Neurospora crassa OR74A: one gene and its partners. The protein of the gene in region 3 purifies or fractionates together with the protein of the main gene of each other region. This does not show direct contact. Links are inferred from orthologs where the notes say so. Each region holds a gene or a part of one and is shown on either strand. Other genes may lie near its edges. The genes, in order: NCU02546, NCU03066, NCU06843, NCU08663, NCU09349, NCU01524 and NCU09521.

Region 1 (3,989 bases), on a different chromosome or scaffold from region 3:
TGCTAATGGGGTTCTTCTGCGAATCCCAAATGCTGCGGCCGCTTTCCCAGAGACCGGCGTTGTGGATCTTCTCGGTGAAGTGTTTGTTGACGTGCTCCTCCAGCTCCTTCTCGTCCACGATGAAGTTCTTGGACGCCACGTACAGCTGGACGACGGCGTCCCGGCGCGCCTCGCTCTTCATCGCCTCCTTCTCTGCATGTTTAATACGCGCCTCCTCGGCCTTGACGAAAGCCTCTGGGTCCAGGGGTACGAATGTGTTCTTGGCCGTGCTCTCGCGAATCGTCGCGCGCGTGAACACCTCGTCCAGACGCTCCGGCGCCTGGGCCGCCCGCTTGTTCGCCAAGTAGCGCGCCTTGCTCTCCTTCGCCTGCTTCTGGTCGCGCTTCACCTTGCGCTGCCAGAGTCCCTGCAGACCGGCCTCGAGTGACTGGCGCCGGGCCTCGGCCATCTTGCGACGCCACGACTCTTGTTTCGACTTGGGCGGCAGACCAGCCAGCTCGGCGGCGGACTTGGGAGCGATACGATTGACATAGCCGGATTGGACCTTCTCCGGGACGCCCTTCTTTGGGAAAATGGAGCGGGGGATCGGGAGGTGGCCCTTGACGAAAGGGTGCCTAACCTCGGAAGACTGCGGCGGCTCGGGGACCTTGATGTAGTTGGGCGAATCGGGGGGGATGGAGACCGAGTCTCTAGCCGATCGGGTGGTGCTGAAAGATCGGGCGGCGATGGCGCGTGTTACTACGCTGGTGGCAGCGCATGTTGTGGTCGGGGAAGAAAGGATAAATTGCACGCCGCTGAGCGACGGCCTGGCAAGAGTTGGCGCCATTTTTGAGGTGGAGGGTTGGCTGAAGACGGGGTGAGCGGGATGGGGTCGGAGTTGGGAGACTTCTGGCCGGGCCGTGCTATGCGGAGGTTTCGTGCGACGGAGGGAACGGACCAGGCGGGTGCAGCGGCCTCTCGCTCTCCTAGGTAGGTAGGTTCGGCTCGGGATCGTGGGACACGCCGCGGTACGAGGGGGCTTTCAACTCCGTCGAAATTCTGAAAGCTCGGGGAGGCCAGAACGGCGCTAGAGTGCTCTTGGTGCTACTAGCTTTGCTGGTCGCGGGCGTTCTGCCGTCGTACACCGCTAAACTTTTTGTGCATGGGGACCTTTGCGCGGCCTCCACACCCCGCCCAAAAAAAAAACTGACAAAACTTTCGCCGGGACCAGTCGCAGAGTTGCATTTCCTCCTTCTCATTCCTTCCTCGCTTCCCTCTCTTCTTTTCTTCTTCCCCAGTCCATTCATCCTCTCGATTCTCACGCAACACCCTCTGCCGATATCTGATACCCCATAGCCTCGTTTCTAGCCTTTTACCCATTCTTCCCTATTTTCGTGTGCTTCTTCTTTCAAGTCAATCTCAAACCCCCCGATCTACGGATACCCCCAGCCGCTCTCGCAGGCGAGAACGAAATTCTTCCACATCTGCATCCTCTACCCACCAACCTACTCGGTAATCTGGCATTGAGTGATATCTGCCAAAATGGGAACAGGAAAGAAGGAAAAGTCTCGCATTCAGCGACAGGGCAAGGTGACGGGTGATCCAAAGGTCAAGGGCGAGAACTTCTACCGGAGCGCAAAGAAGATCAAGGCCTTGAACGTGCTGAAGGAGGGAAAGGCCATTCGCAACAAGGAGGGCAAGGTCGTCAAGGCCGCGTCGTATCAGAGCAGAGATGTTCCCACAGCCGTCATCGAGCCGAACCGGAGATGGTTCAACAACACCAGAGTCATTTCGCAAGATACGTTGACATCTTTCCGGGAGGCGATTGCCGAGAAGGACAAGGATCCTTACTGTACGTTCAACTCTTCCGTCACTTGTCCGGCCGACCAAGACTAACGCACCTTGTCTTGTAGCGGTGCTGTTGAAAAGCAACAAGCTCCCCATGAGCTTGATCAGAGATGGACCCAAGGATGCGTTGAAGAAGCACCAAGCCAAGATGACGATTGAGAGCGAGCCGTTTTCACAGACCTTTGGCCCCAAGGCCCAAAGGAAGAGGCCAAAACTCAGCTTCAACACGATCGGTGACTTGACAGAACACAGCGAGAAGAGCATGGATACATACCAGGCCAGACTCGAGGAGATCAAGCTTCTAAGTGGTGCTTCTGGATATGGCGGTGGTCTTGCCGATGACGATGTTCAAGAGGAGGATTTCAGTGTCGCGACGGCCAAGGAGGCTATCTTCACAAAGGGCCAGTCGAAGCGTATTTGGAACGAACTGTGTAAGTCCTTCTGTGTTTGGGGACTTGTGACTTCGGGTTGCTAACCATCACATAGACAAGGTCATTGATTCGTCAGATGTCATCCTGCACGTTATCGATGCCAGAGATCCTCTGGGAACCAGGTGTCGTCACGTTGAGAAATACCTTGCCACTGAGGCTCCTCACAAGCATCTTATTTTCGTGCTGAACAAGATCGATCTTGTTCCTTCCAAGACTGCTGTAAGTGTAGACCATTATTTGCTTTCACTCCTTCTGCTTGAATCTCTTGACTTGCCTCGCGCAAATCCTGAGGTTCCCAGGGATTTTGTCAGGATCTTTCCCGCATTCAGTTGCGCTTCATTGGGATTGGTCTGTTACATCGCTGGGAGATTAATATCCACCTCCCAACCTCTCTGGTCCCGTCTTGGGATTGGGGATTTGATGGACTCCGTTTTGGAGGACTTCACGGGATACCGGACGTGTTTCGTTTGAGTTGAATTCCACCCTGCCTTTGAGCAGACTCTACCATGGTGGTCTTCTTAGTTATGATTCACACATTTCTTCACATTATACATATATGTTATATTCAGTAACGAGTTGAGGACTAACTGAAAACAATAGGCCGCGTGGATTCGCGTTCTGCAGAAGGATCATCCTACATGTGCTATGAGATCTAGCATCAAGAACCCCTTCGGTCGTGGTTCTTTGATCGATCTTCTCAGACAGTTCAGTATCCTGCACAAGGACAGGAAACAGATCAGCGTCGGTCTTGTTGGCTACCCCAACGTCGGCAAGTCGAGTATCATCAATGCCCTTCGTGGGAAGCCCGTTGCTAAGGTCGCCCCTATTCCCGGAGAGACCAAGGTCTGGCAGTACGTCACCTTGATGAGGAGGATCTACCTCATCGACTGCCCTGGCATTGTTCCTCCCAACCAGAACGATACGCCACAGGATCTCCTGCTCCGTGGTGTTGTACGTGTGGAAAACGTCGATAACCCGGAGCAATACATCCCTGCGGTATTGAACAAGGTCAAACCTCACCACATGGAGAGGACATATGAGCTCAAGGGCTGGAAGGACCATATTCATTTCCTTGAGATGCTTGCTAGGAAGGGCGGCAGACTTCTCAAGGGTGGTGAGCCTGACGTTGATGGCGTTGCGAAGATGGTTCTCAATGACTTCATGCGAGGCAAGATTCCTTGGTTCACGCCTGCCCCCGAAAAGGAGGAGGGTGAGACTGATACCATGGAGGGTCGCGAAGGACGCTACGGTGAAATGTCCAAGAAGCGGAAACGTGACGAGGACGACAGCGCGCCTGCTACCACTCCCGCTTCAGCAGGAGAGGATGCCAAGGAGGAAGACCCTGAGAACTTTGCCGGGTTCGACAGTGACAGCGACTCTGAGGTCGAAGAGGCTGCTGAGGAGAAGGGTGAGGAGAAGAGCACTGCTGAAGATATGATACCCCTGGACGCGTCGAGCGATGAGGAAGAGGATGGCGAGGAGGAGGGCTCTGACGTCGAAGATGACGAGGAAGGATCCGACCTCGACATCGAAGGAGCCAGCGAACTCGAAGAGTCTGAGTCAGAAGCCGAGGCTGCGCCAGCACCTCCCCCGAAGAAGCAAAGGAGGAGCAGGAAGTAAACTCGGTCAGTGAACGCGATGGGCGGCTGGGGTGAACCGAGCATGCGTTCAATAGCCGACCTCAGGGTTGGTAACGATCCAATCGGATCATGACGGCCGGTGTCACTGATA
Region 2 (3,871 bases), on a different chromosome or scaffold from region 3:
AGACGCCTTGGCAAGTATGAGCAGGCAAAAGACCTGCTCGAGCAAGCAATGGCCATGTCGGCATCAAGTGAGCTGCGCATCGAAGCCAGTGGCGAGCTTGGTGTTATCTATCAGCACATGGACCTGATGGATGATGCAAAGCGTGTGCTTCGGGTTCAGTATGAAACAGCAAAGGAGTTTTAGGCGGAGCACTTCGCGTGCCGGTCGATCGGAAACCTCGATACGGTCAACTAGCAACTGTCCCAGCAGCGTTAGGATGAGTCGTTGTTGTAATTAGCGATAAATTAGCTCCTTGAACGCGTTGAAAGGGCCCATCAGATCAAGGATACAATTGACTCGCAAGTCCTGGATGCATTTACAAGAGAACAGCGATTGAAGGGTGCGATAACTTGGGAAACAATCGGTCTCTTCCGTCTTTCTCTACGCTAAATGGGGGATACCTACGGAAGAGTTTCTGAAGATACTCCCTCATGTGAAGCGTGATAAGCGTGGTTTCTGGGTGATATGTTACCTCCCCACCACAACCCCCTTTCTTGATGCGTATTCGATGCTAGCATGCTATTTTGCTTCAGGACTTTGTCTACGTAGGCCAAGATGACCCAATGTCCGGAGTGTCTGCTCTGCCGATAATCATTGCATAGTGCAATGCCATTGTCAGCTTAAGCGACGATCAATTATGCGAGCGGGGCACGGTGTTCTGTTGAATCCATGATGATCCAAAAACTCAAAAAAAGCGTACAGCGTCCATGTGTGGTATAAACAAGTGCTTGACGACAGAACTGATGGCATCCAGAACTGCACCTTGACGGACGGTTCGATGGATTTGAGGATCGTCATGGCAGACAAGTGTTTGATTGTTGAGACGGACCGACCTAAAGTCCTCTTTCTGGAAAGGCAATGCAAACCACTTGCGTAAAGAGTCGGTAGCAATAATTCTTCATATACATATAGAGAACAAGCGCAACCACACCATAAGTGTATCAATATAATTTACATTCCACGTTTGGCTAAACACAAATCAAACATACAATACGACTGTAAATTACAGGCACGCGCATCTCCACATTCGAAGCGGGGACTTCTGGAATCTTGGTGGAGTTCAACACGGCGGATCCCTGCTTTATCAGAGCTTATCTAGGCGGTCAGCAGTGGCACAAACCGTTCCTCCACTCTAATTTTTTGACGACCATCAATCAGTACAGCCGCCCATAGTAGCGACCGGATTTTGCTGCTTTACCTTGCTGTCCCATCCTCAATTATCCTCCTGTACCTCCTTTTTTGACATTAGGAGCAGCATATCTTCAAAATGGCCGGATCGATAACAAAGCCCAAAAGTCAGTCAATCTTTCGCTGAGAACAACATATTCTTCCAATCAACACATTGACTGACGTTACTTAAAAACAGAGCCGAAATCGAAGCGTACACCCGTACGCCTCAGGCACAAGATCCAGAAGGCCTCGGCCGCGAAGCAACGCAAGGACAGAAAGCTCGCCAAGAAGAACCCAGAATGGCGCTCCAAGCTCAAGAAGGACCCGGGTATCCCGAACCTTTTCCCCTACAAGGAGAAGCTGTTGAACCAGATCGAGGAGGACCGCATTCGGAGAAAGGAACAGGAGCAGAAGCGTCGTGAGATGGCCAAGGCGGCCAAGACTGGCCAGGACACCAAGACGGGCGCCGAGGGCGATGTCGAGGCGTTCGATGACGATCTGATGGACGACGACGATGCTATGGAGGAGGATGGTAGCGACGTTGACGATGAGTCGAACCCCCTCGCTGCCCTGGTGGCCAGCGCCAGGAAAGCTGCCGAGCAGTACGACCGCGAGCTCCAGAGCGGCGACGAGATGGACGATGACGACGAGTCCGACGACGAGACCGATGGCGAACCCACACAGTCCGGCGTTATTGAGGTTCCCGGCGGCGCCTCCTCGCGCAAGGCTTTCGACAAGGTCTTCAAGCAGGTTGTTGAGCAGGCTGATGTCATTCTTTACGTCCTCGACGCCCGTGATCCCGAAGGCACCCGCTCGAGGGACGTCGAGCGCGCCGTCATGGCCGCCGCCCACGGTGGTAAGCGCCTGATCCTCATCCTCAACAAGGTCGATCTGATCCCTCCCCCGGTCCTCCGCGGCTGGCTCACCCACCTGCGCCGCTACTTCCCCACGCTGCCGCTGCGTGCCTCCAACCCTGCCCCCAACGCCCACACCTTCCAGCACCGCGACATTACCGTCCAAAGCACCAGCGCGGCTCTCTTCCGTGCGCTCAAGTCGTACGCCGTCTCGCGCAACCTCAAGCGCTCCATCCAGGTTGGCGTAATCGGCTACCCTAACGTCGGCAAGTCGTCCGTCATCAACGCCCTCCTGTCCCGCCTCAGCAACAGCCGCGGCCAGCACAACGCCTGCCCGGCCGGCGCCGAGGCCGGCGTCACCACCTCGATCCGCCAGGTCAAGATCGACAGCAAGCTGACGCTGCTCGACTCGCCCGGTATCGTGTTCCCTTCCACTGCCGGCAACTCGACCTTCACCCCCAAGAACCAGACCGAGGCGCACGCCCACCTGGTGCTCCTTAATGCCATCCCGCCCAAGCAGATCGAGGACCCGGTCCCCGCCGTGACGCTGCTGCTCAAGCGCCTGTCGGCCACCCCCGAGTTGATGGACAAGATGATGAAGGTGTACGACCTTCCCCCCTTGCTGCGCGACCCCAACAACGGCGACCCCACCATGGACTTCCTTGTCCAGGTTGCCCGCAAGCGCGGCAGGCTGGGCAGGGGCGGTATCCCCAATATCCAAGCCGCTGCCATGACTGTCGTGACCGACTGGCGCGACGGTCGTATCCAGGGCTGGATCGATGCTCCCGTCTTGGCTGTGGCTGGTACCGCCACTGCTCCTGCTCCTGCTGGCGGCAAGTCTGCTACCGCTGATGAGCCCCTAGCGGATCAGAAGGTGATCGTGACCGAGTGGGCCAAGGAGTTCAAGCTGGATGGTCTTTGGGGAGATGAGGAGGAGACGGCGACTCCGGATGTTGAGATGCAGTAGAGCGATTTATTCCCCCTATCTTTGTCTGTTGGCAGTTGTTGTTGAGCATTTCACTTTTTGGTTTCTTTTTTGTTTTCGGTTGCGTCGGTGGTCAATGTCGTAATGAGTATTTTGTTGTTTTGCATGTCAGAAACACAATACAACGAACCCCGGAGCTGGACACATCTTTGTGAAGAGGCGTTTTGGCGTCAAGGTGGGAAAGAGCAAAAAGGGAGACAGGCAGGCCGGCTGGTAGAAAATAGGTCAAATATAGCCTGATCATAAACACCTCTATGACAAAGGCTTTTGAAGTGAAGCTTTAAATTCTTTCTGACATTCCCTGCATCGTTCATCATACCGAGCTGTGTTTTCAATGGCCTATTATCGAATTCGAAAGCAACGACATTCCGAAAATGACTTCATGAACGTTTGGATAGCCGAAAGTAAAAAAACAATGTATTGCTCTACAAAAGTCCATCAAGGGTATTCTTAACCTGTACCCCTTCTCAAATACTGAAGCATCCATCTTCAACAAATCTAATAAGTACTAACAAGCTCCATCTTCACCCCCCTCTTCCCCGTCGTCTCATCCTTCTGATCCGTCACCCTCACCCTGACCTTCTGGAACAACTCCACCTTAACCTCCCTGCTTCCCGATGTGGTCAGCGTGTACGTCTCGGCATCATACGTCGCCGCCGGCTCCGGCTCCGCCAGGTCACGCAGACGGATCAAGCTCTCGATACCGAACTTCGGCACGAGCACAACAAAGCCATTGCTAAAGATCTTCATGACGAAGCCGTCCTCCTCCGTAGCCTTGCCGCGCAGGGCCTGGCCGACATAATAAGCAATGCTGGCACGGCCG
Region 3 (4,263 bases):
AGGAGGACAAGAAGGGCGGAATTATTCCCGGTCCTTCCTCCGGATCCGGCCCTGCAGCAAACGAGTCCAAGAACGGAGCCTCAACGAGCGGTAGCTTCAACGGCATCATGGGACAAAAGTCAGAAAGCAACTGATTACATCATCTGCCGTGTACCTCGAGCTTCTGCGCGAGAGACAAGACCCAGTGTATCTGCTTATAATACGGCAGAGGTAGGAGAACCCAAGATCCTGTCGATGTCATAATGGTTTTGCTTATGGATGGGAATGTACGTCGACTTGTTCGTTTTATGTGGTTTGAAAGAGTGGTCATCATTTCACACACATGGATGATGGAGACAGAAGGACCTGTGAAGCTCAAGATCTCATGGGTGCGAAATGCACTATTTTACCACGTTTTGACTGACCGGTAGGAGATGAGGAGGGAGAGGAAGGAGCGGATTCCGATGTACATACATTATTATGACTTGTGTTTGGAATAGAAGCGTGTGCATGTCATCTGTTGGAAAGTCGACAGCGAGAAGGGAATGGGAATATCCTCAAGAGGCGGAAATGAACTCGCTGCTTTGCCATAGAGGCCAGTTAGAGAACATGATTACGATTGTCGTTACACTCTTGGGATCGTAATTGCAACGTCGTGATCATTCCCGCACGGGATACGGTGTTATTGAAATGGCTGAACGGCGCCTCAGCCCGAAAAGTCAAGGAGATGACAGCTAAGTGTAGTGCTTTCGTGGTTATCCCTTGTAACCAGTACGCCTTTGACCATGCATGTCCGCCTAATCATGTAATCATGTTAAGCCAACCCACTTGTTTTACATCTACGACTGTTATAATGCCCTTGTCCACGAGCTCGACAAGCTAGAGGTATTGAGTCAAGAAGCAGATGGGGCATTTGACAATGTCGTCATGCTTCTGACAGGCAGCTGACAACCCCAATAGATGGAGATCTCGCTTTGATCCAAACAGCCCAACCTAGGCTATTGAAAGCCACAACAGCTTGCTCTCTTTGACACCGTGGGCGCGGACATCGAATTCGGAGAATCAGCCGTGTGATCAAGATGGAGTCAAGGGGGGGAACAACGAAGATTGGAGCTCAACATATTGTAACCGACCAGACCAAACAGAGCCGTTGCCACGCGCAGGCGCCGAAAAAATCCCATATCTCGTATTCCATCTGCGAACGTACCTACGGCGGCAGCGGCGACGATGACGGACTTATACGCAGAGCAATCAAAGTCACGTTTTCTGCCACCTCAACAGGACTTTACCTTGTCATCAATGTGCCATTAGTGAATGGCCCGCCAAGCTGACTAAGTGTACGGGGTCGCTCTTGTGGGGTGGATTGTTCTGGGCTTGGCTGGTCATCGCTGGTTGGCTGGGCGGGCTCGAGGAACAGGAAGGCGGACATGCCCGCCGGAAAGGGCTCGCGCAAAAGTTAGGGCTCCGCTGCACTTGAGGCCCGTGCACGGTCCAATCCACACCACTCACACAAAAATTTGGCTGGTCCAATTTCTCTGGCGATACTTCTTGATTTTGTTTTCGCGGTAGTGAACTTTTTCCCACTCGACCATCAACAACCCGGGTACTTGGGATCATCAGCAGTCATGTCTCACCGTAGTAAGTAACGCCTCATCGCCGTCGCTGTCGCCGCCAGACATACGGTCTTTGTCGATTTCTACACGCAATCCCGACTTCGAGAGAATCGATGGAGCAGCTTTCCCGAGAGACGGTCGTCGCGATATCGAAATTTTCGACTTTTTGGCGACTGGATTTTGGGGAGCATGCGTGATCACGACTTGGACCTCATGGCAACCTGAACGTCCTTCATGCTGACTCGATGCTTCAGAGTACGAGGCTCCCCGCCACGGTTCGCTGGCCTACCTTCCCCGCAAGCGCGCGGCCCGCCACAGGGGAAAGGTCAAGTCGTAAGTCAAGCTTATCTTCTGGTACCATCGACAACACTATCGCTAGTAGTTTGGATCTTTCGCGATCGGAACTTGGGCAATAGGGCATGCGAACAGAGAGGCTGACCAGTTGCGCGTTCATGACAGGTTCCCTAAGGATGATGCCAAGAAGCCCGTCCACCTTACCGCCGCCATGGGCTACAAGGCCGGCATGACCACCATCGTCCGCGACCTCGACCGCCCCGGCGCCAAGGCTCACAAGAAGGAGGTCGTTGAGGCTGTGACCATCATTGATACCCCTCCTGTACGTACAACGCAGCCCGCTTGGCTCTTTTTGTGTCAATGGCTAACATCTCTCGCAGATGATCGTTGTGGGTCTGGTCGGCGTAAGTCTTTGATCCTGTCCAGCTGCCGTATATGGCCTACCGCGACCGTGTGATCTAACCCCGATATTAGTACATCGAGACTCCCCGCGGTCTCCGCTCCCTCACCACCGTCTGGGCTGAGCACTTGTCCGACGAGGTCAAGCGCCGCTTCTACAAGAACTGGTACAAGTCCAAGAAGAAGGCCTTCACCAAGTACGTCAAGAAGCACTCCGACAACAACGGTGCCGCCATCACCCGCGAGCTCGAGCGCATCAAGAAGTACTGCACTGTCGTCCGTGTTCTTGCCCACACCCAGATCCGCAAGACTCCCCTCAAGCAGAAGAAGGCCCACCTTATGGAGATCCAGATCAACGGTGGCTCCGTCGCCGACAAGGTCGAGTTCGGCCACGGCCTCTTCGAGAAGCCCGTCTCGATCGACTCCATCTTCGAGAAGGACGAGGTTATCGACGTCATTGCCGTTACCAAGGGTCACGGTTTCACCGGTGTCACCGCTCGTTGGGGCACCAAGAAGCTTCCTCGCAAGACCCACAAGGGTCTCCGCAAGGTCGCCTGTATCGGTGCCTGGCATCCTTCCCACGTCCAGTGGACTGTTGCTCGCGCTGGTCAGGCCGGTTACCACCACCGTACCTCGGTCAACCACAAGATCTACCGCATTGGCAAGGGCGATGCTGAGGACTCTGCTGCCACCGAGGTCGATGTCACCAAGAAGAAGATCACCCCGTATGTATCCCCGTCTGTCTTGAAGAAGTTGAAGAGCGCAAAACTAACCCTGTTCCAGCATGGGTGGCTTCGTCCGCTATGGCGAGATCAACAACGACTTCGTCATGGTCAAGGGCTCCGTTCCCGGTGTCAAGAAGAGAGTCATGACTCTCCGCAAGTCCATGTTCGTCCACACCTCCCGCAAGGCCCTCGAGAAGGTCGAGCTCAAGTGGATCGACACCTCCTCGGAGTTCGGTCATGGTGCTTTCCAGACCCCTGCCGAGAAGAAGCAGTTCCAGGGTACCCTCAAGAAGGACCTCGCTGCCAGCTCGTAAATTGGCTGCTGCAGTTGATCTCCTTGTTAGTCGGGTTGCATTGGTGTCACGGTTTTTTCGTTGCTCTTTCGGGTCGGTCGGGAAATGGGACTATACCTAGCATTTACGGCTTAATAAAAAGCTGTTGAAGAACAATGAAACGTTGATCCAGTGTACTGCCAAAGAGAGTGTCCTTCAGCAAAATGTGTTTTATGTGATGTGAACACGTGAAGAATCTGGTGGTTGGCACAGATTCGATGGACACTGTTGTTTATAACTTCGTATGTTTTATTCCAGGACTTTTGTCTTGGGCTGCTATGCCCCCACTAGTGTAGGGTAATGACTTGAAGGGACCAGTGGCATATAGATATACCCAATTTGATAGTCTTGAATGTAGCATGTCGTGTGATTCTCGTTGCCTGTTCTGCTGCGCTGGACGTGTTCGATTTATCAACTGTTCATGAGCTTCCACCTGTCATTCACTACCCGTCTCTATGCTTTCTCTTCCTGATATTGTTCATCTGCGATACCACGACTGATAATGATATCACTTTTCGACCATCTTCTCATATTCCTAGTCGTGCTTTTGGGAGTCCTCACGGCGTACATGGCTGTTGTTACTTGTTGAGGGCATATCAAACCCCGATCGACCTTGCAAGCAGCCCATCTCCTGATTGGTTGACGCTTCCACTCTTAGGCCAACGTGAGATCCGCCATTCCTAATTGGTTTCAGCTACTGCAGGTTACATCATCGGACGTTCGTTCGCATCCCACCACGCAGCCCACCCACCTGACTGATCATTGTCATCGTCGTCCCGCCCAACGAAACGTTCTCAACCTAAACACAACAACATAATGGTTTGAACTTCCCTAACCCTGACCCAGATCTGTTCTAGTTGCTTCTTCCATCCTCAACACAAACTCTTTGTCGACAATCCGCAAAGCTAATTACCCGGCTCT
Region 4 (3,949 bases), on a different chromosome or scaffold from region 3:
AAACCCCCTTTTCCCTTTTTGCCTTTAGCCCACCTACTACTGAACCCCTGACCCATGTCACACCCAACCCTCAACTCCACCACACAATTCATGAACAATTCGTGCTTTTCCGGTTCAAGAACACATCCTCTGGTGACAAAAGCATAAAACAATCGGAAGCCATCCTTCATCGGGTATGGTGTAGCGGTAACATCGTTGACTCTCACTTGTTTACAAGTGTCTGTTTTCTCAACAGCCCCGGGTTCGACTCCCGGTATCCGAGCGATAACGATCAACCTTCTGGTTCTCTTTTTTTCGTTTTATTTTTTCCATCTTTTCTCTTCGTTTCAAAGTTGTTCCTTGGCCCCCTCTGCATCGTTGTGAAACCCCGCGCATTTTGTGATATGTTTTCCTTTTTCTGGGGTTGTATGCTTTGGAACCTTTGTCCGGACTCGAAATAAACCTGTTTTCATAATTGATGATGACCGAAGGCGACAAGATAAAACAGACGGATGGAAAACATTTTGAGCAGATGTGTAACACTAGGCCTTGACTGACCAAGATCATCGTACATGACAAGTTGCACATCTTCGTTGATTTAGTACTTTGACGGTCGTAGCATCCTTTCAACCACGTCTATGCATTCACAACTATAAAGACAACAGAATGTTGGATGCAGAGGGCGCCAACACGGCAAGCCCATTCCCGAATCTATTCATGAAATGCCTTAAAAACGCAAACCCTGAAGAACAGCTAACTCCCAGAATTTTGATTTACCCCGAATCCCAAAGCCATTCACATCCACATATCAGACTCCAATCAAGATCACATCCTACTCCTTATCCTGAATCTCCATTTCCTCAAAGTCATCGAGGAGCTCGTCCATGCTGATCTTGGGGCCATCCTCCTCAGCCTCCGTCATCATGTCGGTATCGGCAATGCTCATGGCATCCGCCTCCCTCTTGGTCTTGAGCGAGTTCTTGTACAGAGCAAGAGCAGCACGAAGCTCCTCGTCCTCCTCGACATCGCGCAAGAACATCTCGTACTCGGCATCCATCTTGGCCTGGTCCGAAGCCTTGGGCAGCAGCTCGCCCTCGTCCTTGGCCATGCGCTTGAGCTTCCAGTTTCTCTTTCTGTTGCGGCGGCGGTTCGGGTAGTGCTTCTTGACGAGAACAACGTCAGGGATCATGGAACCGTACGCCTTGGAGCTCTCAATCGCCTCGAGCGCGTCCGAGTTGAAGTTGGTACCCTCGAGCATGTAACCCAGCACCGAGTCACCGGCGTGGAGATGCTGGCCGAGATGTGTGCGAGTGAAGTAGACGTTGTCGTTCACGCCGAGATCGGAGGCACGAGCGACCTGGACCTCGGAGAGAAGCCACTTTCCTTTTCGTACGCCTGTGGACTCGATGTCCATAACGATAAACTCAACAAGATCGGGAGTGCCGGCAAGCGGATGGAAGGGAGCACGCCAGTAGATATCGGCGCTGACTTCGGCGGTCTGGAGGGTGTTGGGGTCGAGAAGGTTGACAGATGTTCCTATCCTGTGGCAAAGGACAAGGGGAGAAATGTTGCCAATGGACTTGGCGAGTTTGAGAGGAAGGGCAACCAAATCGTCTCTGCAAACAGGCACGATTTCGACGGAGTAGTTGTACTTGTACGACTTGTTGCCGGTGTGTGTATCCGCGGAAATAAGATGCCTCGACTCCTTGGTGAGAACTGGTACGACGGACTTCAGGAAGCTGATGAATCCCTCGGCCTGGTTCTTCTGGGCAAAGTAGAAATCGATACCGTCCTTCTCTTCCTTGATGTTGATTGTGTCGCGATGGGCCTGGTGCCTGAGAATGAGCTGTTCGAGGAAAAGGAACGTCCTCTTGTGGGTGACCTTTTGGCGGACCTGTACGGCGGCGCGCCAGACGTTGGCTGTGTATGACTTGGCGCAGTCCTTGCACTGCTGGCTGGCGACGACGTAAGTGACCTCGAAGCTTTGCTGCATCAACACACCATCCGCCACCTGATCCTGAACCGTAACCTGAACCTTGACTCTTCGCGAATGGGGTTCTGTCCAAATGAACCTGGCGTCTGTGATGCGGACCTTGCCCAAATTCCTCAGTTTCTTCAAGCATAGCGACAACAACTCTCTCGATTCGGGGGCGGCTGTGACCCAGCTGGCGGGGGGTAGGAGCCATCTGTCGCAATCTTTGCAGAAGTGGAGGGTGGCCTCGCGCTGGATGCCCTGGGAGATATCGACGGTGGACTTGATGCAGTCGTAGCAAAGAGCGCCGGCGGAGGATGTGCCATCGATGGGAGCGCCGCAGTTGCAGCAGAGAATGCTATTGGTGGTGTCAGCAATCATGCCTTCGATAACCTTCAGTCTTCATGGTCAAAACTCACGTAGCACCTGTCCTGGCAGAGCCCATCAACGGGGCCATGGCCATAGGAGCGTCGAGATCCATGATTAATGAAGTTGTGGTTTGCGACAAGATATGAATCGGGGTATCAATTGTAAAAACAAACAAAAGTCGCTATGTCGTGAAAAGGAAAACCTGGGAGTTCCGTCGCAATCACAAGTGAAGTTGCTGCGGATGAGAAAGAAGTTGACGACTGGAAATTTGAATGGACCAGGACGAGAACGAGTCGCTGGGGGGGAACGTTGGAGGCGCTGACGGGACGGTCGTCAATAAATTTCTTGATGGGCCCAGCACCAAATCGCCCCGCGCTGCATTGATAAGCAATTCGTTATCGGCTATCGGCTACCGTGGGTACTTAGAGGTATTAGCACAAGCCAGTGCAGCAGTACGTACAATTGTGGCGTTCTACTGCCGGCTTTGCCACACCAATAAATCAGCCTCAAAACTTATGGAGCTTTAGCTCCGGCCAGCTGTATTGCAGCTGTCGGGTACGAGCTCCTGATCATCTCCCCCCCTTGTCGATCTGTTGACATTGAACTGTCGATTCGTGTTGACTACTGGTCGATAATATTTTCAGGTGACTGGAAAATCAGCTTTCCCAGTCAGAGGTGCATATGGCTGGGTGACTGGACTATCAAGAAGCCATTCATCCTCAACCACGACGCTGGTAGGCATCGCAAGAGCCCTGACCCTCATTAACTTTCACAACATTACTTTTTGCCTTCGCCACCACCTCCCTGGAAATTCATGCTGTAACCACCGGTCTTCTCATCCTTCACCATCTTGAAATGGTCAGTGCTAAGACCAAACGGCTTAAGCAACCCATTCCCAAGGTCCTTCAACTTGCCCCACATTTCAGCAGTCTCCTTCTCCTGAGCAGCCTTGGCCCGGGGCGGCAGTGCTCTGAGTTGCGCCTGGACGAGCTTTCGGTCGGTAGCCGTAAGGTTGGTCATGGCAGATAGCTTCTTGTAATCCTCGATAGCCCCCTCGAGGGTGGACCATCCACCCAGCTCGCTCCTTGCCCGGGCCCGGCGTAGCAGAGCTTTGGCCCGTATCCTGGCAATATCCTCTAGTCGCTTTTGGCGGGCAATCTGCGCTTCAGTTTCCGTGACAGGAACGGCGGGTCCGGCCTTTGCTGCACCAGCGCTGACAATCTCCTCTTCGACATCTTCCTTCTCCTTCTCTTCCTTCTCGGCAGCCAGCTTGTCCTCCCGCTCTAGCTTGTCAAGCAAGTCCAGAGCTTTGGTTGCGTGCGTGATGGCATCCTTCCAAGCTTCCAGCATGAGGTGACAGGCGGCCACGTTGGAGCGCAAGACGGCCAAGGGGTAGTCCAGGTAGTTTGGACAAACAGCAATGGCTTCGTCATATTTGTTGAGGGCGGCATCGTATTTGCCCGAGGTGAAGAGGGCGTTTGCCTCTGCTTTGTGTGTGTTGGACTCAGCTACCAATTCCTGCTGAGGCGGTCAGTCACAGAGGTTTGGGCATCAAGAGGGTCTTTGTTGTTGTTGCTTTTGGTCGTGGGTACTTGCAGCCTCTTCTTCAGGTGAGAATTTGATATCGGC
Region 5 (4,004 bases), about 2.4 Mb from region 3:
CCAGCCCGATCGGCTTGAGCCGTGTCTACGCCTCCTGGGGCACCACTTGGCAGCAGAAAGACGGGGAAGTGAGATACAGAGTGTATCGAGATTTAACATAAACGTGGTTTCGATTCAAGAACCAGAAGTTCTTGTCCGATTTTATTTTATGGGATGCCTTCTGGATTGTTTCCGTGATGTCTGTCCGTGGTGTTGAGCGAGTGGTGTTGAAGAATAGGGCCATGGGACCAGATTATATCATGAACATCAACTTCCGTGCTGATACCTCCCATTGGAACCATTCTCAGCCTCAGATCGTGGAAAGATGCGACCCAAGGCAGCAGTGAGCCAAAGACCGAACCACACTTGTGACTCGGTCAACTCCATGGAAAATGATCATGTTTTCATGTAATAAAGGTGTTGTTACTTCCGACGTGACCAAGATAGCATCCCGTCAGCCTTGAGAGAATATGAAGGATTCCGAAGGGGTTCATGAAACTTCACTTCAGCCAATGTAATGATGCGAGGATATTGATCTGCCATGTGTACTGTTATGTATCGACCCAGGGGCCTCTCGGCGAGTGACACTTCCAACCCAGGGACCTGGATTCGAAGCTGACTGGTACGTTCCAATCTTGCGCCCTGTATCCCGCAGACGGGGTAAGTTTCCAGCTGCCCCGAATTATCGATTATCGATCAAGGCAACCCGTAGCCTGACTATGGACTTGTGTCAAGGCCTTCGAAGTCGTCCGCTGGACGGGAACTGCAAAGTCCACCAGGCTATTGACTGGTCTGTCTCAATCCACTAAACCTTTGGAATAGAAATGTAACATAAGAAGAATACTGCAATGCCAGGATCTCAGAGGTACTGTACAGCGTTTGAATATCCGCAGTGTAAAGCAATGCCACCATGGACGACATCCAGAGCCTAATTCCGTGAGAGGGACAACGAACATGAAAGACCGACTACACGCGGTTACGTTGAGTATATCATGTCTATGACAGACTGGAGTAATTGCAGGAGAGGTGAAAGCGTTGTGATAATAAACGAATATCAGAGAAGAAAACAACATAATGCGGATTTGAAGATAAGAGGAAATGGACAAGTTCAGTTCTCGACTCTCGCAAGCAATTGGGGGCACAATTGGCGGGTTCCGGGGTTCGGCTGATCTGCAGTCAAAAGTGGGGTCAACACTGGGACGGCTGTAGCGCACAGACCAGGTTTTCATCAGGAGAAGAGGGCAGAATTGGCAAAATTTTCACCGCCTGGTGTAATCCCTGGTTATCGAACAAGCGATAAGAAAAAAATCCCCAGCGAAAGAGAAGGCAGAGGAAGGATAACAGATTCGACTCGCTGGGAATTTGAACGGAACCATTGCGACGCCCTTTTCCCAGAGTATCGCAACCACCCACCGACAGTACCAACCCCCCCACGCCATCACGATGGCTTCCGAATTTAGCAAGAAGCGCAAGCTCAAGGACGCCAAGATTGCGACCGAAGATGGCGCCGCCACCGACAAGAAGACCAAGAAGGTGAAGAAGGACAAGAAGGAGAAGAAGGCCGCCGAAGAGGTCGTCGAGGACGCCACCCCCGAGGAGGAGAACGATGCCCAAAAGGCGGAGGAACAACAAGATGGCGACGAGGTCATCCCCACCGGCAACGGGGACAAGGAGGACAGCGACGACAAGGACGCTGAGGCCGGCGACGAACTCACAAAGACCAACGACTCCCTCATCGCCCCGTCCATCGCGACCAATGCCACCGACTTCTCCGAGCTCAACCTGTCCGACAAGACCATGAAGGCCATTGCCGAAATGGGCTTCACCAAGATGACCGAGATCCAGAGGAGAGGTATCCCGCCTCTGCTCGCCGGCAAGGACGTCCTCGGTGCGGCCAAGACCGGTTCCGGCAAGACCCTCGCCTTCCTCATTCCCGCTATCGAGATGCTCAGCTCCCTGCGCTTCAAGCCGAGAAACGGTACCGGTGCCATTGTCGTCACTCCTACCCGCGAATTGGCTCTCCAGATCTTCGGCGTCGCCCGCGAGCTCATGAAGAACCACTCCCAAACATACGGTGTCGTCATCGGCGGTGCCAACCGTCGTGCTGAGGCCGAGAAGCTGGGCAAGGGCGTCAACCTGCTCATTGCTACTCCCGGTCGTCTGCTCGATCACCTGCAAAACACTCCCTTTGTGTTCAAGAACATGCGATCGCTCATCATCGACGAGGCCGACCGTATTCTCGAGATTGGTTTCGAGGACGAAATGCGCCAGATCATCAAGATCCTGCCCAAGGAGGACCGTCAGACCATGCTCTTCTCCGCCACACAAACCACCAAGGTTGAGGATCTCGCCCGTATCTCGCTCCGTCCCGGTCCTCTTTACGTCAACGTCGATGAGGAGAAGCAGTTCAGCACGGTCGAGGGTCTGGACCAAGGCTACGTTGTCGTCGACGCCGACAAGCGCTTCCTGCTCCTCTTCTCTTTCCTCAAGAAGATGCAGAAGAAGAAGGTCATTGTCTTCTTCTCGTCCTGCAACTCGGTCAAGTACTACTCCGAACTTCTCCAGTACATCGATCTTCAGGTTCTCGATCTCCACGGCAAGCAGAAGCAGCAGAAGCGCACAAACACCTTTTTCGAATTCTGCAACGCCAAGCAGGGCACCCTCATCTGCACGGACGTTGCCGCCCGTGGTCTCGACATCCCCGCCGTTGATTGGATCGTCCAGTTCGATCCTCCTGATGACCCGCGCGACTACATTCACCGCGTCGGTCGTACCGCCCGTGGTAACAACACCAAGGGCCGTTCGCTGCTCTTCCTCCAGCCCAACGAGTTGGGTTTCCTCGCCCATCTCAAGGCCGCCAAGGTCCCCGTTGTGGAATACGACTTCCCCAAGAGCAAGATCCTCAACGTTCAGTCCCAGCTGGAGAAGCTGATCGGCCAGAACTACTACCTTAACCAGAGCGCCAAGGACGGTTACAGGTCGTATCTCCACGCCTATGCTTCGCACAGTTTGCGGTCGGTGTTTGATATCCATAAGCTTGACTTGGTTAAGGTGGCCAAGGTATGTTTTCTCTTCTCTCCCTTTTTCTTCCCCAACACCAGAACAGTCACTAACGTACTACAAAAACAGTCCTTCGGCTTCTCCACCCCTCCCAGGGTAGACATCACCCTGGCCTCCAGCATGTCGCGTGACAAGAAGCAGACGAGCAGGAGAGCGTATGGTAGCCAGCCGAAGCAGAACCGTCACTAAGCGAGGCGGGATTCGGTGTTCGTGTTGTTGTTGTTGTTGGTTAGAATACGAAAAGGGGATGATGATTTGTCAATGTTCTCTCTTAGATATCCATCGGGCATTCGGTGTGGAGCATAGTGGGTGTTTTCTTTTGTGTTGCTACTTTGCTGTTTACTTGTTGTTGTTTGCGCAAGCTGCCAAGGCGTTTTTGGTTGAAAAGTAAAACTGGAGGGCTTCAAATCAACAATTAATTTTTACTTTACGTTGCTGCTCCGTTGGTGTGGTATTTCTGATGCTGTGCCGTTCGGTCATCTCGGGTGTCTTTCCATGTGAGGATGGAACATATTATCATGCTGACAGTTTCATTTGATAAATGGTAAGAAAGACCTTGAACAAACCACATCATATCTATTTTGCTACGCAATTGGAAAGATCGTGATGTTGATATGGCTGATGGAAAGCATGGAGGTCCTGAGTGTCACTCTCTATCAAGGATCCTTTGTAGGGATTCATAATCAATACCCAAATTAGGTAGCTGACAACCGGTACCAACTCAACACTAACCTCCAACAACAAAGCATGAAACAACCCACTGATGACAGTCTACTATTTCAGAACGACCTACATCGATACCTATTCTATCTGCAGCCCCAATCGACCCCCCGAACCTGAACTACATAACAGACGGAAACTCCCCGACACAAACCAACCTAACAACTTTACCAAATTTCACCTCGTCCCCAATATCCTCCCCTTCCCCTTTCCCAATATCCTCTCCTTTCCCTTCCCATCACTTC
Region 6 (3,674 bases), about 1.4 Mb from region 3:
AAAGCCGTATCGCCAGGATGACTGACAGAGAGAACTGCAGAGGAAAACCACCTATCCTTTATCGAGACTTCGGCTCTCGACGCCACAAACGTCGAGCTTGCGTTCCAAAACATTTTGACTGGTAACGTTTGCCCAAAGCCTACAGCTGCTGCTCTGGCGCGAGCCTACCGCTAACATGCGATCATTTATCTAGAAATCTACAAGATCGTGTCGACCAAGAACTTCGACAACGGCCCCAGCGGGTCCAACGAGGGCCACCAAAACCTGTCTGGCCAGAGCATCTCGCTCAGTCAGACCGCGAACGACCCCCAGGCGAAGTCTGGCTGCTGTTAGGAGGTGCTTGATTCTCCGGGCCGGGAACCGAGTGGCCCTGAAGGGTTGAGGTGCAGGGTGCAGCAGAGTACAACAGGGTGCCGAACCAACAACGGCGTCACATATGTCTGACATGAAGCAATGGAGGCTTATGATGAGCAATGAAGAGCAGCATCGGGGGAAAAGTACGGACGGATCCTGCCCAGTCTTATTACATCACGGTCGCCGATGGGATGGTCTGTTTTTCTTTTTCTCTCTATTTTTTTGGGCTTTTGGGGAGGGGGGAAAGGATCATGATGCTCGTCTTCCAGCCTTTCCTTTTTGTTGTTATTACTACTACTACCCCTTTCTTCCCTTTTCCCCCCGTGCTGGTCGTTGGAATTTTCCTCAATGTGGTTAACGAAGCCATCACTTGCGCATGGATTACGAAAGATATTATTTAGTTGAAATGAACTATGGGCGATAAACAGCCCTTAACTCAACCTGGTACATATTGCTCCACGTTGTCAAGGTCTCCATCTATTGCATCCACAATGTGGGAGAAGAGGAGTACCTCGAGAGTGAGTACCTATGTAGCGATAATCGTGCAGGATCTCGTTATGACATTCAAGTTGATTATGTGCGACAGCGGGAAACAGTCAATACAAATTAAGACATCTGGGCTTGCCTGATGGATTATGGCGACTGTCCCTCATTACTCCCATCGCGTCACCCGAGGCGGTTGAAGTGGGTTTGAGTGCGGACAAGAGGCCAGTCCCGTCCCATCCCCCACTGTAGGGCAGACAAGAAGAACGCGTGGAACTTGGACAGTGTGTGTAGGCAATGGAATCCCCAGAACTTGGGGGTCCGGATTCCAGGTTGGGTCCATCAGTGGGACAAATGCGGGTTGCCCAGACCGCCGACCGCCTTTCAGCTGTTCCAAGCAGGGGGGCCGGAACAGGGACGCTAGTAAGATAAGAGAAGCTTATCGGAGTGGGGCTGCGATTGGCCGGCGAACTTTTTTTGAGATGGAACAGCCTGCACTCCATCACTGCGCTTCGCCCGCGACGTTCGTGGATTGGAGCATTGAATTCACCTTTGCAATCCGCATTCCGTTTTTCTGCCATCACTTCCACCACAACCACCACCAACTTCAGTCACCCTTGTTTTTCGCCCGATTTTGATACCCAAAGAACGACAAGAACAAAAAGAAAATGGCCGCCGTTTACAAGTCGCTCTCGAAGAGCGCCAAGAAGGTCGAGGACACGGAGAACGACAACAACACCACCACCACCAATGGCGGCTTTCGGAAGAACAAGCAGAGAGTTCTGATTCTCTCGTCCAGAGGCGTTACCTACAGGTACATATAGACCCTGCATACCTGCAAGATGGAAGAAGAAAGGGTCAATTGCTAACCGCCTTTGCGCCCCGAGTACAGACACAGACATCTCCTCAACGATCTCGCAGCGATGCTCCCCCACGGCCGCAAAGACGTCAAGTTCGATTCCAAGTCCAAGCTGTACCAACTGAACGAGCTTGCCGAGCTCTACAACTGCAACAACGTCATGTTCTTCGAGGCGCGCAAGGGCAAGGATCTGTACATGTGGTTTAGCAAGGTTCCTAACGGCCCTACGGTCAAGTTCCACGCCCAAAACTGTGAGCACTATCCATATCCGAGATACGCATTGTGAAAGAGGAAAAATCGGGTTCTAACAAAAAGCACAGTGCACACCATGGAAGAGCTTCACTTCACGGGTAACTGCCTCAAGGGCTCGAGGCCACTCCTCTCCTTCGACCTCGCCTTCGAGCAAGAGCCGCACTACCGCGTCATCAAGGAGGTGTTTCTGCAAATGTTTGGCGTCCCCCAGGGCGCGCGCAAGTCAAAACCGTTTATCGACCACGTCATGAGCTTCAGCATTGCCGACGGCAAGATCTGGGTACGCAACTACGAGATCCGAGAAGTGGAGAAGGCCAAGGGCGAGAAGGACAGCGAAGGAAACGACATTGTCCCCGAGAGCGACAAGTCATCATCGAAAAAGAGAAAGGGCGCGCCCAACGCGGAGCTCAAGGACACAGACGTCAGTCTGGTTGAGATCGGACCTCGGTTCGTCCTAACGCCCATCATCATACAGGAGGGCGCGTTCGGCGGCCCCATTATTTACGAGAACAAGCGCTTTATCTCCCCCAACCAGGTGCGCTCGGAGCTGCGCAAGGCCAAGGCGACCAGGCACAACACCAGGGTGGAGCAGGTCAAGGAGAGGCTCGGCAAGCTCGAGACCCTCACGGCCCAGGCGAAGAAGGAGAAGGATGTCTTGGATACCCGGGAGCTCTTTGCTTAGAGAAAGGAGGAGGAGGGGAAAGAGAGAGAGAGAGCTTTTCACAACACGATTTCATCACGTCTGTTCGCTTGCGACACATCAAAGCAACGCACGCCTTAGGTTTAGGGGTAATCAAGGAGTTTTTTGTACTTTTGCTGGCTGGCTGGTTTGGTCTGGTTCGGGAAAAAGAAAGGAAATCGATTTGCATTGTACAACATTACAGTATTCGTGGGGATGTGTGAGACGGACGAGCTGTCCTCTTTTGACAGTTGGGAAAGAGGATCATGATCGAGTGGTAGATGAGCACTCAGCGTATAAGGTGCTGGCTCGAAAACGGACACATCAGATCAAGATTGAGTGATGAACGCCGTCCTGGCTCCGGTCTTGGTCGTGTTGAAAGGAGATGGTCAAAGAAGGGTAGGAGAGCAAGTACTTTGCTCGGCACCTCACTAGCGGTTGACTGTCTATAACCACACTCCTGAGGGAGATGTTGTTCGCATAGGACCTAGACTCTACCTTAAATGCAGTTGCGCTGTGAGATATTGTCTCACATTTTTGCTCCATGATTTGGGTTGTTTCCATATATATAAGAGACACGAGGTGTCTCTTTCGTTGAGTTGTTGGGATGATATCACCACCTTCAGTACACTCCTCAAGGAGAAGAAGAAGAAAAAGTACCATGTTTTGTCCCAAGGTAGCTTTGGGCGACATCGTCCCAAATTTCAGATTTTCTGACGGACTAGCCATCTTCTCAGGGGCTTTGGGTCGTCTAAGTCATGTAGTGTGCCTGGGAGTTGGCGCGAGTTTGGTGCTTCTTGAAAACAAGAGATAAGGACTGGAGCCGATACCTAGGACGTCGCTCCTTAAAGCGAAAGACAAATGGCTTGAGTCTAATGTTGAACACGTATGGCTAACGCTTTTGATCAAAATTTAGAAGCAAAAAAAACGACTCGGAGTACTTTGGTCATGACTCAGGTTCACTCATCGATATCGGAGGAGAGAGTTGAGGATAGGTTGTAGAGGGTTCACTTCACTCATTGTGAAAGTTCGCTACAGGGGACCTGT
Region 7 (4,096 bases), on a different chromosome or scaffold from region 3:
TCTTTTTCGGATCGGACGCGGATTCGTGGCATAACGAGACCGGTTGCGCCGGCATCAATGGCATAGCGTAGGCAAGTCAGCATGTAGTTGCGGATATTGCCGATGCCGCCGGAGTTGTTGTCGCAAACGAAGACCAGGCCGGGGGTCCAGCTGGTCTCGCTGCAGACTCTCTCGAGCGGCCAGCCAACGAAGGGGGCATCGGGAAGGGAGAGATCGAGATGGCGTTGGAGAACGGGACCTCGTGTTATGTCGGTGTTTAGCTGGGGAAGTCGACACAGCCAGACGGTGACGAGACTGGTGATGGCCATGAGGGCGAGGACGCCACGTGAACGTGCCATGCTGAGGACCATGTTGGGGTGCTATGGTTCGACGACTGGCCCTAGAATGACTGACATTGGCAAGACGGGACTGTCGAGCTGTTGTTGGAACGGGGTCGATCACGACTGGACCGTTGTGCGCGTCGGGACGCCGGAGTACACTACCTCAGGTGGCCGGCAAGTGGACTCGGGCAAGCCGAAGATCATTTTCGGACATGACGGAGGCGCAGCTCCGCTTGTACTGTGTATCATGTTGGGACTCGTAATCAGGCAATGCCCTTACTCGTAAGCTGTATCGCATCTCGGATTGACTGAGAACGGAAAAGAAAGTCGGGATTTTGCTTTCCGGTTGGGGTTCAGCGTCGGGCAGGCATCAAGTGGGATCGATTTGTTGGACGAAAAGGTTAGGTCCATCTTTCGTGGGATGGCAGACTTCCAGTTTACACACGTGTAGTTGACTCGACTTCACTTCCGTCGTTCAGTTCAGTTCAAATGCAGTCCAGTGAGTACCTACAGTCCAGTACTAGTTTCTTTGTTAGCTCGAGACCTCGTGTTAACTTTCCTATGCGTCTTCATAGCTAAGTAACGCCTGTTATTACTTTGGAAACGCCATTCCTAATATTCAATATGCTATATCAATTCCTGCTAATGCCTTTATATTTCGTACTCACCCATTCTAATTTATCCTAATAAGCTTCAGTTTTAAGACTATTCGGGATTGATTTCGCCTAGTATGCACCACCAGACCTAAGTACCTACCTAGTGTACCAAGCTAACAATCAAACCAGCATTGGACTGTAGATGGAGGTAACAACTAAGTGCGGTTGCTGAGCCACATCCCCTGCAGTGCCAGGAGTGCGTAGTGCAGGTAAGTAAGCCACAAATGGCCTGGACTAGAGCAGTGGACCCGACAGAACTTGAAGCCACTCACGCGGGGTAGCTGTGGAGATTTGGAAGCTTGGCAACCCGGCTGTCCCACAGCTCCACTAAAAAGTTCAAAAATTTGGAAGTGGAATTTGCGGGACCGAGTTCGGTTCAGTTGACATTGGATTGGGAAGTCCGCTGCCCTCCCGTCGTGTCTGATACTGTAGCGGCTGCCGAGTTCCATCTGTCAACAACAAACACGCAACAGTGCTGTCTGCCTCTTGCCGCCGTAGCCAATCCTGCAAACAACCCTTCATCATACATTGTACCGACATCACACACACCACACAAAATGTCCAAGAGAGCCGCCGAAGACGAGAGCCTTGCTGCTCCCCTCAAGGGCGGCGACCGCCCCGAGGCCATGGATGTCGATAAGGACCACGACATGGGCGAGTTCGAGGACGACTTTGAGGACGAGTTCGAGAGTGAAGACGAGATCATCGAGGCCGGTGTTGATGGCCGCCCAGATGCCGAGAGAGAGGCTGAGGAGGGTACGACCACCCATGTTCATCCTCTCGTGACTACATTGTACTGACCCTAGTCGCAACAAACAGGCGCCATGGACGTCGATGGCGGCCCCGAGACCTTCATGGTTGGCCGTCAACAGCTCGAGGCCGGCCAGACCCTCACGCCCGATACCACGACATACAAGATGCTTCACAGCTTGAGCACTCCCTGGCCCTGCCTTTCCTTCGACATCATCCGCGACGGCCTCGGCGAGAACCGCAATGTCTACCCTGCCACCATGTACACGGTCGCCGGTACCCAGGCCGATGGCGCCCAGGCCAACGACAACTCCCTTCTCGTCATGAAGTTCAGTGGCCTCAGCAAGATGCAGGGCGAGGATGGCGAGGACTCGGACGACGAGGACTCGGATGATGAGGACACCGACCCCATTCTCGAGCACAAGAGCATTCCCCTCAACACCACTACCAACAGGATACGCTCCCACCAGTCCCCTGCCCAGGATCCCTCGAGGCCCCCCACCACCCTAACCGCCACCATGACCGAGTCCTCCCAGGTGCTCATCCACGACATCACCCCCCATCTCGCCTCCTTCGATACCCCCGGCATGATTGTCACTCCCCAACAGAACAAGCCCGTCTGCACCATCCGCGCCCACAAGACAGAGGGTTACGGTGTAGACTGGTCGCCTCTCCACCCCGCCGGCAAGCTGCTTACCGGTGACAACGACGGTCTGATCTATGTCACCACTCGCACTGATGGCGGCGGTTTCGTCACTGACACTCGTCCCTTCCGCGGCCACACCGGCAGTGTCGAGGAGATCCAGTGGAGTCCTTCCGAGGCCAACGTCTTCGCCTCTGCTTCCAGCGATGGTACCGTCCGTGTCTGGGATGTCCGCAGCAAGAGCCGCTCGCCCGCTCTCACCATGAAGATCAGCAACTACGACGTCAACGTCATGTCATGGTGCCGCCAGACCAGCCACCTGCTTGCTACCGGTGCCGACGATGGTGAGTGGGCTGTTTGGGATCTCCGTCAATGGAGCAGCAACCCTTCGGCCAAGCCCGCGCCTCTGGCAAACTTCAACTTCCACCACGAGCAAATCACCAGCATCGAGTGGCACCCTACAGACGACAGTATCGTGGCCGTTGCTGCTGGCGACAACACCGTCACTCTCTGGGATTTGGCTGTCGAGCTGGATGACGAGGAGAGCAGAGATACCGCCGGTGTCTCGGACGTCCCTCCCCAGCTCCTGTTCGTCCACTACCAGAACATGGTCAAGGAGCTCCACTGGCACCCTCAAATACCCGGCGCCCTTGTCGCCACCGGCGAGCAGTTCAGCGTCTTCCGTACCATCAGCGTATAAACAACAGCAGAATAGGATATCAAGTTTGGGAAACAATACAAAGGTGTTCAGGATTCGGAATCGGTTGGCTTGTGCGGGAGGTCTAGACCAACAATGCATCAAAAGTTACTTTTCCATCTGCTTATCGAGATACCCATTGACCAGCAACCAAGTTGCCAACTCCACGGAACTTGACAACTCCGCGGATTCCACACATTTTCCGTGCTCTACTGTGTTGCACCAGCCGACCACAAAGTTTTACCACCGTTGACGCCCCTATCCGTCGTATCCGATGGTTGCCATCAACACCAAAGTTAGGTTGATATCGGAACCGGCCTAAATCTCCGGTGATGAGCAAGCCTCCAGTCGACTCCACCTCCTATGACGTGTGTCTTACGCATTACCACAGACCGGGTATAGCAACTGTCGGACATGCCATCTCGACACAGAATGCTTAGGAGGAGGTTTGCGACAGTGACGACCGCGCGGGCATCACGTCTATTGCCTCAGATACTCGTCATTGGGGGGGCGTCTACCGACAGCTCCACGTCTTCTGCGCGAATGTTCATCCAGGTCTGCATACCTCAAAGAATATGGCCTGGAGAGTGGAGGCGCGCTACGCCGTTTTCGGTTGCCCTGCCTTGTTACTGTGATCTCTCAATCTTTCTGCTGTTGCCGTTAGCTGACCGATCTTGGTTGGGTATGTTGCAAACCTGGTAGCTTTTACAGGCGTTATCCGGGCTTTGGACGGGAACAACGGATCACAGCCATCTCAAGTGCTGTCTATAGCTAAGACTATCCTTGCAGCAAGGGAAGGAGGAAAGCAAGAAAAAAAAAAGAAAAAAAAAAAAAAAAAACGTCAAACGGATGAAACGCTCCGGTGAAATTGTGTGTGTGTGTGTGTGCTGGGAGGTCAATCGATATCACCATCTCACAAGTACGCCATGCCCGCGCCCCAATGTTTAGGTCAGAGTTTTCTCTCATGGTCATGACTCAAACTAATCTCTACTGGAAGGTATCTTGGTAAGATGGTCCTTCATTTTACTGT

The links.
Region 1: the proteins of NCU06843 (region 3) and NCU02546 purify together in Saccharomyces cerevisiae (affinity purification with mass spectrometry; 6 studies listed by BioGRID, with this or other methods). This does not show direct contact. The link is inferred for Neurospora crassa OR74A from reciprocal best matches to the Saccharomyces cerevisiae genes RPL3 and NOG2.
Region 2: the proteins of NCU06843 (region 3) and NCU03066 purify together in Saccharomyces cerevisiae (affinity purification with mass spectrometry; 6 studies listed by BioGRID, with this or other methods). This does not show direct contact. The link is inferred for Neurospora crassa OR74A from reciprocal best matches to the Saccharomyces cerevisiae genes RPL3 and NUG1.
Region 4: the proteins of NCU06843 (region 3) and NCU08663 purify together in Saccharomyces cerevisiae (affinity purification with mass spectrometry; 3 studies listed by BioGRID, with this or other methods). This does not show direct contact. The link is inferred for Neurospora crassa OR74A from reciprocal best matches to the Saccharomyces cerevisiae genes RPL3 and NMD3.
Region 5: the proteins of NCU06843 (region 3) and NCU09349 purify together in Saccharomyces cerevisiae (affinity purification with mass spectrometry; 3 studies listed by BioGRID). This does not show direct contact. The link is inferred for Neurospora crassa OR74A from reciprocal best matches to the Saccharomyces cerevisiae genes RPL3 and HAS1.
Region 6: the proteins of NCU06843 (region 3) and NCU01524 purify together in Saccharomyces cerevisiae (affinity purification with mass spectrometry; 3 studies listed by BioGRID, with this or other methods). This does not show direct contact. The link is inferred for Neurospora crassa OR74A from reciprocal best matches to the Saccharomyces cerevisiae genes RPL3 and BRX1.
Region 7: the proteins of NCU06843 (region 3) and NCU09521 purify together in Saccharomyces cerevisiae (affinity purification with mass spectrometry; 3 studies listed by BioGRID, with this or other methods). This does not show direct contact. The link is inferred for Neurospora crassa OR74A from reciprocal best matches to the Saccharomyces cerevisiae genes RPL3 and RRB1.

What each region holds. Positions count from the first base shown.
Region 1 is NC_026501.1:2,685,297-2,689,285, forward strand, and holds the start of NCU02546 (nucleolar GTP-binding protein 2), read left to right. Parts: upstream 1-1,189; 5' UTR 1,190-1,521; coding exon 1,522-1,831; intron 1,832-1,892; coding exon 1,893-2,258; intron 2,259-2,313; coding exon 2,314-2,477; intron 2,478-2,858; coding exon 2,859-3,878; 3' UTR 3,879-3,989. Other genes in the region: NCU02545 (hypothetical protein), read right to left, coding at 1-826. UniProt on the Saccharomyces cerevisiae protein: GTPase that associates with pre-60S ribosomal subunits in the nucleolus and is required for their nuclear export and maturation.
Region 2 is NC_026501.1:4,414,055-4,417,925, reverse strand, and holds NCU03066 (GTP-binding protein), read left to right. Parts: upstream 1-1,201; 5' UTR 1,202-1,306; coding exon 1,307-1,334; intron 1,335-1,405; coding exon 1,406-3,030; 3' UTR 3,031-3,371; downstream 3,372-3,871. Other genes in the region: NCU03067 (hypothetical protein), read left to right, coding at 1-183; NCU03065 (mitotic control protein dis3), read right to left, coding at 3,547-3,871. UniProt on the Saccharomyces cerevisiae protein: GTPase required for 60S ribosomal subunit export to the cytoplasm.
Region 3 is NC_026502.1:1,783,778-1,788,040, reverse strand, and holds NCU06843 (60S ribosomal protein L3), read left to right. Parts: upstream 1-1,475; 5' UTR 1,476-1,604; coding exon 1,605-1,617; intron 1,618-1,846; coding exon 1,847-1,925; intron 1,926-2,051; coding exon 2,052-2,208; intron 2,209-2,266; coding exon 2,267-2,290; intron 2,291-2,360; coding exon 2,361-3,010; intron 3,011-3,068; coding exon 3,069-3,324; 3' UTR 3,325-3,763; downstream 3,764-4,263. Other genes in the region: RCM-1, read left to right, coding at 1-134; NCU06844 (hypothetical protein), read left to right, coding at 4,159-4,161. UniProt on the Saccharomyces cerevisiae protein: Component of the ribosome, a large ribonucleoprotein complex responsible for the synthesis of proteins in the cell.
Region 4 is NC_026504.1:4,180,517-4,184,465, reverse strand, and holds NCU08663 (60S ribosomal export protein NMD3), read right to left. Parts: upstream 2,700-3,949; 5' UTR 2,433-2,699; coding exon 2,371-2,432; intron 2,310-2,370; coding exon 812-2,309; 3' UTR 501-811; downstream 1-500. Other genes in the region: NCU08664 (tetratricopeptide repeat protein 1), read right to left, coding at 3,098-3,838, 3,917-3,949. UniProt on the Saccharomyces cerevisiae protein: Acts as an adapter for the XPO1/CRM1-mediated export of the 60S ribosomal subunit. Unlikely to play a significant role in nonsense-mediated mRNA decay (NMD).
Region 5 is NC_026502.1:4,196,605-4,200,608, forward strand, and holds NCU09349 (ATP-dependent RNA helicase has-1), read left to right. Parts: upstream 1-1,279; 5' UTR 1,280-1,422; coding exon 1,423-3,039; intron 3,040-3,108; coding exon 3,109-3,228; 3' UTR 3,229-3,504; downstream 3,505-4,004. UniProt on the Saccharomyces cerevisiae protein: ATP-dependent RNA helicase involved in 40S ribosomal subunit biogenesis. Required for the processing and cleavage of 35S pre-rRNA at sites A0, A1, and A2, leading to mature 18S rRNA.
Region 6 is NC_026502.1:3,192,924-3,196,597, reverse strand, and holds NCU01524 (ribosome biogenesis protein BRX1), read left to right. Parts: upstream 1-1,354; 5' UTR 1,355-1,505; coding exon 1,506-1,651; intron 1,652-1,729; coding exon 1,730-1,947; intron 1,948-2,016; coding exon 2,017-2,630; 3' UTR 2,631-3,174; downstream 3,175-3,674. Other genes in the region: NCU01523 (GTP-binding protein ypt3), read left to right, coding at 41-121, 194-333. UniProt on the Saccharomyces cerevisiae protein: Required for biogenesis of the 60S ribosomal subunit.
Region 7 is NC_026503.1:18,619-22,714, forward strand, and holds NCU09521 (ribosome biogenesis protein), read left to right. Parts: upstream 1-1,296; 5' UTR 1,297-1,533; coding exon 1,534-1,732; intron 1,733-1,795; coding exon 1,796-3,069; 3' UTR 3,070-3,878; downstream 3,879-4,096. Other genes in the region: NCU09522 (hypothetical protein), read right to left, coding at 1-359, 483-524.